Linked DNA regions of Ovis aries. The protein of the gene in region 1 interacts with the protein of each later gene in a biochemical or structural test. Links are inferred from orthologs where the notes say so. Each region holds a gene or a part of one and is shown on either strand. Other genes may lie near its edges.

Region 1 (4,676 bases):
AGGTCAAAAAAAGATACCTAAGGTAAACGGGTTAAGGGGATCATGACTACAGATGGAGTAACCTTAGGAACACTGGCATTTCCCTGGTGGCTCAGAGGTTAAAGCGTCTGCCTGGAATGCGGGAGACCAGGGTTAGATCCCTGGGTTGGGAAGATCCCCTGGAGAAGGAAATGGCAACCCACTCCAGTACTCTTGCCTGGAGAATCCCATGGAGGGAGGAGCCTGGTAGGCTACTAGTTCACGGGGTCGCAAAGAGTCAGACACGACTGAGCGACTTCACTTTCACTTAGGAAGACTACCCTTCCTGAGTCTGCATGAAAGTCTTGAGAAAAGCCCTTGAAAGGGCCTGAAATCCCAGCACAGTCTTGCTCTTACAGTGAGCGATGCTGCCAGGTTACACTCATCCTTCCTTTCTAGTAAGATGGATGTGTACCGATAGGGGAATGAATACCATCAGCAAGTTTTGTTTGAAGCTTGACTTCACGTATCTCCCTCCTTAGTATGTATCCCAAAGTAAAGCTATAGAAATTGTCGTTGGATTTTATCACACAATTAAGCAGAGCCCAGTAAAGTTGTATAGGGTAGGAAATCCAATTCATTGGCCAAAGCTACCAGGCTCCATAAAAGTTTGGTCATAGTCCCTGTCTTTACTGTATGCTTGAGATATTCTGTAACAATGATATGTAGGAGAAACTGTGTATTTCACCTGGAACACCAATTAGTTTTCAGTTTTTTATTTCCTCCAGAGTTTCCTGGTCATCTGGGACAAAGAGTACTTTATAACACGACATCTGGGATAGAGGGAGTAACCACTATAGTCAAAATTTCTATTTGTTCCCTCTTAAGATACTATTCAGGGAACATTTTGTAGACAGTAGGGGAAAGGAGGCAATGAGAAAAGAAGTGGTAAAATGCCCAGGACAAACAGAAACTGAGCAAGTGAGAGCAAGTAGTCTGGACAACCAATGAACTTTTCTCTTAGAATATTTTCAAGGGTAGGTTTATTTTTAACTGTTTGTTAGAAGTCTATTTGATATGAATTCTATACCTGAAGATCTGTACTCAATGACCATTCAAAAACTTCACACAGATGTGATTACAATTGGATAACTTCAAGACTGCAGTGATAATAAAACTTGAGAACTGAAGAACACAAATTTCTTCACGAATTTATTATACAAAAAGCCCCCAGAGTATTTGATTTCTCGTATTCTCACTTTCATTATACACAAGAAGCACAGGAATGAGAGGCCTTTTCAGGTGACTGCGTAGCATGAGGGTCCCTTGAATCCAGGTAGTGTACATATTTTTAACAGTGTTCTCGAGGCTGGCCCAGAAAACCCCATGTTGCCTTATCACAATATGGAAAGTAATGTTTTCTTTTCCCACTAAATTATTGTGAAAAATGTCACTGTTTTATTTAGCATTATGGTACATTAACAGTTAAGTCTCAATTACTAAAAGAACTAAAATAATTCTGAAAGACATCCTCTTTCCCCTTCCAATGATTGAAAGCTGTATTTTTCCTGCCAATTTCAAACAAATCATCAAACTAATCTGTCATGGTCAGTTAAAACAATCGAGGTACAAGCTCAGCACATGAGCTGTAACTTGTAGCAAAATGATATATCAATATGTCTCTCCTCAGTTAAAAATACATAATCCTTTTATTTTATATCGCAATAAAAGAAATAAACATCACAGACACAGAAGACTAGAAGGGGAAACTACTTACTTCTGAAGGTCTAGTAATTTAAATCTACCTGTACTTTTCCACAGTACGTGAAAGTAGTATTTAACACTTTTTGAAATAAACTTTAATCTTTGGGGACAGACGATGTAAATAGGACTTAAAAGACAGTTCCATTCATTTCCAAGTCTCTGCTTACTGTATGATTAAGTAAAGCAAGGCACAACAGCCATTCTTTCCACTATGTTCCAACACTGATCATGTGCCTTGATAAAACGGCTGGCTGGATAAGATGATGGCGACAAGAAGGGAAGACTTTGGATTGTCTAAAATGTGGTTAATAAGCAAAGAATAAAAAATTTAAGTGCACTTTCACATGCTTTACGCTTATAATAAACAACAAACTTATCTTTCTTGCGAAGGGGTTGACTATCATTTCTTTTGGCCAAATGCACTTTTCCCCAATAAACTTAAAACAACAACAAATCCCTGTCCTTCCATATACTAAGAAGGAGGATTAGCTACTGAAACAGTTCATTGCAAGACACATGAAGACAACATACTGTGGCATGAGTTGTTTTTAATTTGTTGTGCTGTTACTAAAGTAAAGTTCTGAGGGCTGCAGTTAAACATTCCAAGTTCTCCCTTCCATCTTTATTGATTTTAAGATTTTTGCACAGAAGACTCTTTGGGGACTAGAACAGCAGCAATTGTATCACACTGTTTTCAAGACTTCCAAGTTTCAAAAGCAAATTGTTTAAAAAAAAAAAAAAAAAAAGAAAATACAGCTCCTGATTTGAGTTAGATACAGGGACCAAAAAAAAATAGCACATACTTGAAGGTTACATGGTCTACAAATGGTGGCAATATTTTCCTTGGGAGGGTAGTTTGTTGGTATATATTTTTAAATATGCAAAAAGGCTCAACCTCAAGCAGTAATAAACACAAGCAAAAGTGATTTAACCCTTAAAATAAATATTCAGAAAAACCTCTCTGTACATACAAGTGAAAGAATAAGTAACACTTTCACGCAAAAAAAAAAATAATAATAATAATAAAGGATTTGTTCATATAAGTAGCTGAAATCTGCTGTTCCAGCCCATATATCCCCAATAAAGAAGGGAGGCACAGACATAGGTGACTACTGTGGTTCACTATTTAACAGCCTTTTTGTACTGGGACACTATCACCACCAATTTTATCCCTCTCGTTATATTTATTAAAATTTTAAATTTCTTTTTCTTTTCTTTTTCTTTCCATTTTTTGTTTTTTTTTACAGCATGCCAAATCCTTTGGCATAAGTGATGGCCTTCAACAATCTCTCTTTAAGTTTTTCTTTGCTTGAATATTCCGGAAGTAAAAGGACATTAAAGCAAGTATGAGATGTAGGTAACCTATATAGAGAGAAAGGGGAAAAACAGGAAAGTAAGTCATGGGACATACGCTCAGTACTAAATGATCCTACTTTAGATGGTATATACATTGAGATGCAAAGCACACTACACATTAATGCAAGTCATAAACTTTGATTTTGCCACACAGCTACCAAACAGCAGTTTGTCTTTACCTCATAAATTACTCAGTGCTAATAATGATGATGGTTGACAATAACATATTCCATCCACAAAGTTATTACCACATACCAGATACTGTTTTAATAGGTTCTTAATCCAGAGAGCTCATTTAACTAACCTTCCTCACAGTAAACCTACAGATGGTCAGTTTCCCCACTGTAGAGTTGAAATCACTAAGTAGTGACATTAAGTGGAGACAATATTCAAATCTCAGTTCTAAAATTCCAGTCTGGGCTCTTTAGTGCTTATTTGAAATATTCCTGGATGACTATGTAATTGATTTGATAATAAATAAATTTACATTAATATCAAATCATGTAGAACACTAAAAGAAATGTTTCTATGCATTTAAATTATTAAGTATACTACTGCTCATATATGGCCACTACACACCAAATGTTAACTCACACAATAGAGGAAACACGACTAATGTAAGGACACTGAAATTGGTGGTACTAGCATAATCTAGGGCTGAACAATCTTGTGAACTTCAACTTGACTATTCTAAATACATGACTTAATATGGCTTTCAATTAAAAAATTCTCAACCGAAAACTTTAAGAATCATACCAATTTATAAAATTTCAAATCAAGTGAACTCTGTAATTTTTAACCTGCCCAGTGTGTAAAGATTTTCTTGAACATTAGCAGCAAAGCACTGGCTAAACTAACATTTTATGTGACTTGGAAATTTCTATTAAAAACTGCAAATGTGCTCAGAAGCTTCTGGATAGATCACACATGTGTAATAATATGGAAGCCAAGGTTTTCAATATATAGTCACAATTTAATAATTACCTTTCTGTGTCTGGACCATTTTTGGCTATTATCATCTTCAATTTTCCTAGTCCGCCCACAGGTGCCCTGTCTGTGCCTGTTGTAAACTGCAAGAAGAGTCTTTTCTGCTCATCTGTAAATGAATGAACAATTTCCCAGAACTCCCTAATGAGAAAAGATAAAAATACCGATTTTAGTTTGGCATTCATTATTGCTAGCACTAATTTAAATCTGTGATTTTCATTAAAACCATAATAGGAGATAACTTGGAGGTCAATATCAAGAGCCTGAAGGTTCTTTTCTGGGGATCTAGGACTTCCACTCATGCAAATTTAAGAAAACTATTTTCAAAAATATAAAAGCTTTTGTTCGTTGCTACATTATCTGCAACAGTAAAAACTGGCAACAACAAAAGGAAACAATTACATAAACTGTAAATATAGTCAGTAACAAACAAAAGGCAAAACCAAAGTCCTGTGAACTGAAGATGACAGCTATGTCCCTGTCTACTCATGCCTTACGTAATAACTTCAAGGGGAGGTCAGGCACAGAGTAGGGACAAAAGAAAACACAAATACCCTCATACCTAAAATACTAACACAGAAGGACACAGTGTTTATATAAATGAGGATACT
Region 2 (5,822 bases), on another chromosome or scaffold:
CCGAGTGGAGGACATTTGTCCCCTGCAAATCTGGCTCACTGTAGAAAGGGCTTTGCTATCTCTGGTGTCTACTTATCTGTGTCCTGCTCAATTCTTTTGCTGTCAATCATCTATCAGCTCTGGGCCCTTGGCATCCCTGGTGTTTGACTCATTATTGTATGTCAGGCAAAGCTGGGATCCTGGGATTCCCGCTTCTTTACCTGCATCTACTACAGTGGCTGTGTACGTTAAGGCCTATGTACAGGGGCAAAAATCACCTCCCCCTAAGCACAACTGGTATAAATTTTCCTTGTCAATCCAATCTCTCTGATAAAATATTCACCGAAAAGGGAGCTGTTTCTTTAATACCTAAAAAAGATACCAGACAGCTTTATCCACTTCATTTCTACAGCAAACATTCATACTACTTCTAGAATACTGGGAAAAGATTTCTAAGAGTAATCCACACATGTTCCACGGAGTATTTCTTATCCAGTCCACCAGCAGTGGGGGCTTTTCCTTCAGCTGTGGACTAAAAACCAACAGCTTCCTTCTAATATGCAGTTCAGTAACCTTCTGTGGGCCAACTCAGGCTTCTTTCTTTCCATCTCCTAGTATATGTGCCCATCCCAATTCTATTCCTACCTTCCAAATCAATTTCCCAGACCAGCAGCTACAGGGTCCCAGTGACCTCTTTTCCCCTTGTTCTTCTGTGGATATGAGGCCTCCTCTGTTTTTTCACCTTTACTATTAACCACAGCTCTGCTTTATGGTAACAGCCACTCTTTCAGCAAGATTCCCAGGGAGCTAAAGCTGATGTTAATTTGATAAAATTACTGTTGGAAGCGTCCCACCTTTCATTTATTTTACACCTACCATCTCTTTCCCAGGCATTTCCAAATGAGTTTTTAACTCCCGTAGCATAAATGGACAAATTGTGTCTAATGAAGAAAAAAAACTGTCTCTAATTTGCTTACATAAAGCAGACAATTTTATATTTGACACCTGTGCCTTTATCCCCAAATATATTCCTGGACACTAGGGTAATCCAGCAAAATATAAAAGTGCTAATGAACTAACGCAAATATTCTGCCTTAGGTCAGGCCAAAAGCTGCCCTCAGCTTGGATCAGAGAGCCCAGAAAAAGGGAGGGGGAATGAAGAGAAGGGTCCATCCAAAGCAGGCAGGGGAGATGCCAGGCTTGGGGAGAACCAGCACAGGGCTGATAGCGGAGGGCCGCTCAGGACTCCTGGGAAGCTGAGATGCGATCAAACAACCTCGCTGAAAATGAGAATCTTGCCAAGGCACCTTGCCACGTAACTCTACACATATACACTGTTTACAGTAAGCCAGAGTCTTTTCTTCATCTCCTGTGCTTAGGTCACCAAAGCATTTTATCAACTTTCCAAATTTCAGGGAAAATGACAGGACAAACTTTCTAACTAAAAGTTTTGGCTCACTACTCAGTGGAGAGACTTAAAGCCTCCTGTTCCATTTTTTTAACGATCTTTTAAGACAGACATCTTTACCTAAGCTACCATTTCAATTCCTTATTATCTTCCTGGTTTGCCACTTTAAAGTTTAATGACTGTACACTGGACAACCGGATTTATGAAAAGGAATGGAGGCTCCAAGGAATCTGCTGTAGACTAAGGCTCGTGAGGATCAGAGGATACTACTGAAGGATGATGGAGATTAAAAGTAACTTCTATCAGAGACATAAGAGGGAGAGAAAAAAGAAAAAGAGCTACTGCTTGAATTCAACTTGTGTTGACAAAAGTGTTTTTGTTTTGTTTACAGCATAAAAGAAAACAGCATGAAAAAAAATTTGAGCTTCCCGGAAATTTAAGTGGAGGTTCTCAAAAAAACACAAAGAATCCCCAAAACAGCCTAGAATAACTAATTTACATCACTTATTGACTCATTAATTTGCCTCAACTCTCTAAATCAGAAAAATCTCTTTAAATCCCATCTGAAAACATCCATCTCCATCTATTAAATTTTTCACTCTGCTAACGTGAGTTAGTTATTCCTTACGCCATGTGTGGAGAAAGCACTATTCAAAGAGAGATCCTATGTGCAACAGGTGAGAAGGCAGTAAGACAGAGATAGAAATCGTCGTGATAGAGCTGTCCGGGCAGGTATTAATAATTAAGTGGGATGACAGTCTTGGGGAGGGTCACAGATTAGTGATTAACAGGACAAATAATTTGAAATCAGATTTGGAGGTCACTAGTAACACTCATGCGGATTCTTACAAACTGCAGCAAGATACGGGGAAGGCAAGCCACAACAGCTGCATGGAGACAATGATCAGAAGTAAAAACAGAAGCAGCAAGAGAGAGAAATAATTCGGGCTTTCAAGGTCCTTTTTTCCCTTTTTATGAACACATAAGCCCTGAGGAGCGTGTAAGCTACCCTCACTGGAAGCGGACCCAATGCAACCGGAGGCCGTGCGGGCAATAGGAAGCCTGCTTTGGGGGGCGGGGGTGGGGTTTGGGTACCTCTTGGCGCTGGTGGAGAGGAGTTTGGAGTTTTTGCTCATGCTGACTTTGCTCTCCTTCTTCTTGGGGGTGTTTGCTTCTTTCTCAGTTTGCTGGTTGGAGGACGAAGACGAGGAGGAGCTGGTGCTGGCCCTCGAATCGTCATCCGACATAGCGAACCCCCCGCCCCACCCCGCAAACAGCCCCTGCAGGAGGAGGGAGACAAAACAGAAAGGCCGGTGTAGACACGGAACTCGGGCGCTGTCAGGAGGGCTCGGGCCCCGGCCGCCCCCCCGCCCTCCACGCGCTTTCCCGAATCTCCAGGCCCATCACGGCCTCTGCGAGTCGGACGCGGGCTGTTTGTCTATATTCCTGGCCCCGAGTGGGGGCCGCGGTGGGGACCGGCCGGGAGCGCGGCGCGCCGCCCCTCCGCCGCCCTCGAGGCTCCCCTCCGGGCGGGGGCCGGGCCGGCCGGCCTCGATTGGTGTGCGGCGGCCCCCGGGGGTCGCGGGGGCCGGGAACGGAGTTCGGCGGGGCGGGGAGGCCGGGGAGGGGCGAGGGAGGAAGCCGAAAGGGGGGACGGGGACGGGGAGCGGGCGCCGGTGGGTGGTGGGGAGCCGGGCGGCGGGCGGGGGCGCCGAGGCCAGGCCCCCCCCCCCCAGTCCCGGGCCGGCCCCCGGGGGCGCGGCCGGGCGGGGGTCCCAGCACTGGCAAGGGCGCCGCCGGGGTCGGGGTACGGGGCCTCCCCGGCGGAGGGGTAACAATGAGCGCGGCCGCCCTGGGGAGCTAGCCCCGCGGGCCCCCGCCTCGGGGACACGGGGCGCCCCTCCCCTCCCCCTCCACGGGCCTCGGCGGCCCCGGGAGCCCCCCGTGGCCGCGCTGACAGTTCGAGCCCCGGCAGCCCCCCCCCGCCCCCGCCGCGGGCGGCCCTCGCGCCCCACGCGGCCCGGGGTCCCCGCCCATCCCCCCGCGGGCGGGCCCGGCCCCCCGCCGTCCCCCAGCCCCGGCCCCGCGCCCGGCGGCCGCCCGGGCGGCTAGGGGCGGCCCCGAGGCCCGGCGGCGCGGCCGGGGGCCGGCGGGCGGCGCGGGGGATCCCCGTACCTCTCTTTGTGTCTGGCTGCTCCGTGCCGCCGCGGCGGCTGCTGCTGCGGCTGCGGCTGGGCCTGGCCACTCGTGTCTCTCTCTCGCCGGGAGAGAAGCGGAAGTGCAGCAGCAGCAACTATTAAACAGGCAATGGCTTCCCCCGCCACACACGCTCGCCCGCGCCCCGCCCCGCCCCGCGCAGGCCCCGCCCCGCGCAGGCCCCGCCCCCGCCCGCGCAGGCCCCGCCCCGCGCCCCTCCCCCCGCACGCGCGCCCTCCCCCCAGCGCGCACCTCAGCACCTCGGGCGCCGGGCGGGGGGCCGAGGTCTCGCGTGGCCTGGGGACCCCGCCCCCGCCCCCGCCCGCGCTGGGAGTGGGTGCGGGTGCCGAGAACTGCTCCGAGTGGGGAGGTGACCTGAGGAAGTCCTCCCGCGAGGGGCTTTTGCCAGGGAGACTCGAGGGTGGCCGACTGGTTTAAAAAAAAAAACAACAGGTGATCCGGTAGCCAGGACTTTGGACGAGAGAATGGCCCCGGGAACTGCTCCTAAAAGTGATCAGCCTAAGGGGAAATGAGAAATCCCACGACAGGCTTTCCTATGGGCTGACCTGGCTTCTCCCTCTGACGGTTTACCTGCTAGGAGCAGAAGTAGGTGCAGGCTCGCCTGTGAGGAACGGGACTTTTCTGCCCAGACACGTGCCGTTTTACAATTTTAGGTATTTCCAGTCATTTTTATAGACAGAGGTGGTGTTTTCTAAAAGTGATACAAAGAATTTCGTGACAGAAAAAACCAACCAACGTGTGACAGTCTCACGAATGTGAGAAATCAATGGGAATACACTCTGTACTACTGCATTAGACTGGATTTAGAATTTTTGGTGTCAGAATTTGGATTAAAAGTTTGGGGGACCGCTGTACATTCTTCAGCTACAATACAAACGCCATTCAAATAATCATACAATTTTTCTAAAAGTCCCTCTAATTCTGAATTGTTCATTTAGTATTCTTAACAAGATTACTTTTTTCAAGCCATCAAATTGATTATGTTTCACATTTATTCCTCATTTCAATTGAAGGAAATTGAAGAAATAGGTATGATGTTACAGGTAGGAAGTGTAGTACATTAAGCCACTGTCCAGTCAGATTTCCATGGGCCACTGAATTATCTCATCCAAATTGCCGTCCTTTCCCATGGCAGCAGTGTGGCTGCAGTTACCACAGTACAACACAATTTATAAAGCCCGAGGCGTATCCGCTAACCAGGAAAACAAGCGTTCTTACCACCCACCTAAACCCCTCCGAGCCCTCAACAGGAAACTCCAACTTTATTAAGACTCATAAAGTAATTGTGAGGGACCAGGAAACATGTACCTACCAAGAATTGTCATGGAATCAAGGGGTCTAAAAGCTGAGAAAGAAAATACATATAGGTCATCATTTCAGCCTCCTATCTCCAGACAGAGCAATCCCTCAGTCACTCAGATGCTTAGAAATTTTGAAAAGATCCCAGATGTGTGTTTGATTTCAGGAGTCCTAGTAGACATATAAAAATAATAACATTCTCTGCTGTATGTTATATGAAAACAATCCAAAAGAATCTGCTAAAACCAGGCTGTATACATGTACTTTGGATGTAAAAGATATAAATTTAAGGGAAAACAGTAAACAAACATGAACTCAGTAGGGATGAAAAAATCTGAAGATAGTTCTTAAAACTGAGACTTCCTCTTAACAAAAATTTGGGTTCCTGATTCTTTGAAATACATATCTACACTGTCAGTGTCATCGACTCGACGGACATGTGTTTGACCAATTTCCAAGAGTTTTGGTAATGGACGTGGAAGCCTGGCGCTCTGTAGTCCACGGGGTCACAGAGTCAGACACGACTGAGCGACTGAACTGAACTGAACAGGGTGAGTACAACCAGTAAAAAATGCAGGAAAAGAAAAGGTTTGAAGTGCTCACATGACTAGGATGGTGGCTGAGTTTTTTCTTTAATTTTGGTTTGCGTAAATCATATGTTTGGATACTAACTATAATAATATTTTTTTTAAAAAAACCTAACATGGTATTTTGTGTTTCATTGATGCTTAGATTACACTGGGCCCTGGGGAAATAAATCATGCAATGGAAGGGCCCCTCCATAGGGGAGTGCCTTCCCAACCACCAGTCTGGAGGGACACTAGCTCTCTTTTGTGTCTTTCTTATCTCTAACCCTGGTTAGTGCTTTACGGGTTCAGGAATGACCTGCCTGCCGTAGGGGGAATAAAAACCTCAAAAT

Evidence for each region. The genes of interacting proteins can lie anywhere in the genome.
Region 2: the proteins of UBE3A (region 1) and UBE2E1 form a complex in vitro, tested with the Homo sapiens proteins (2 studies listed by BioGRID). The link is inferred for Ovis aries from reciprocal best matches to the Homo sapiens genes UBE3A and UBE2E1.

The regions. Positions count from the first base shown.
Region 1 is NC_056071.1:1,613,425-1,618,100, forward strand, and holds the end of UBE3A (ubiquitin-protein ligase E3A), read right to left. Parts: intron 4,207-4,676; coding exon 4,063-4,206; intron 3,085-4,062; coding exon 2,964-3,084; 3' UTR 1,158-2,963; downstream 1-1,157. UniProt on the Homo sapiens protein: E3 ubiquitin-protein ligase which accepts ubiquitin from an E2 ubiquitin-conjugating enzyme in the form of a thioester and transfers it to its substrates.
Region 2 is NC_056079.1:41,468,331-41,474,152, forward strand, and holds the start of UBE2E1 (ubiquitin-conjugating enzyme E2 E1), read right to left. Parts: upstream 3,726-5,822; 5' UTR 3,563-3,725; intron 2,668-3,562; 5' UTR 2,635-2,667; coding exon 2,483-2,634; intron 1-2,482. UniProt on the Homo sapiens protein: Accepts ubiquitin from the E1 complex and catalyzes its covalent attachment to other proteins. Catalyzes the covalent attachment of ISG15 to other proteins. Mediates the selective degradation of short-lived and abnormal proteins.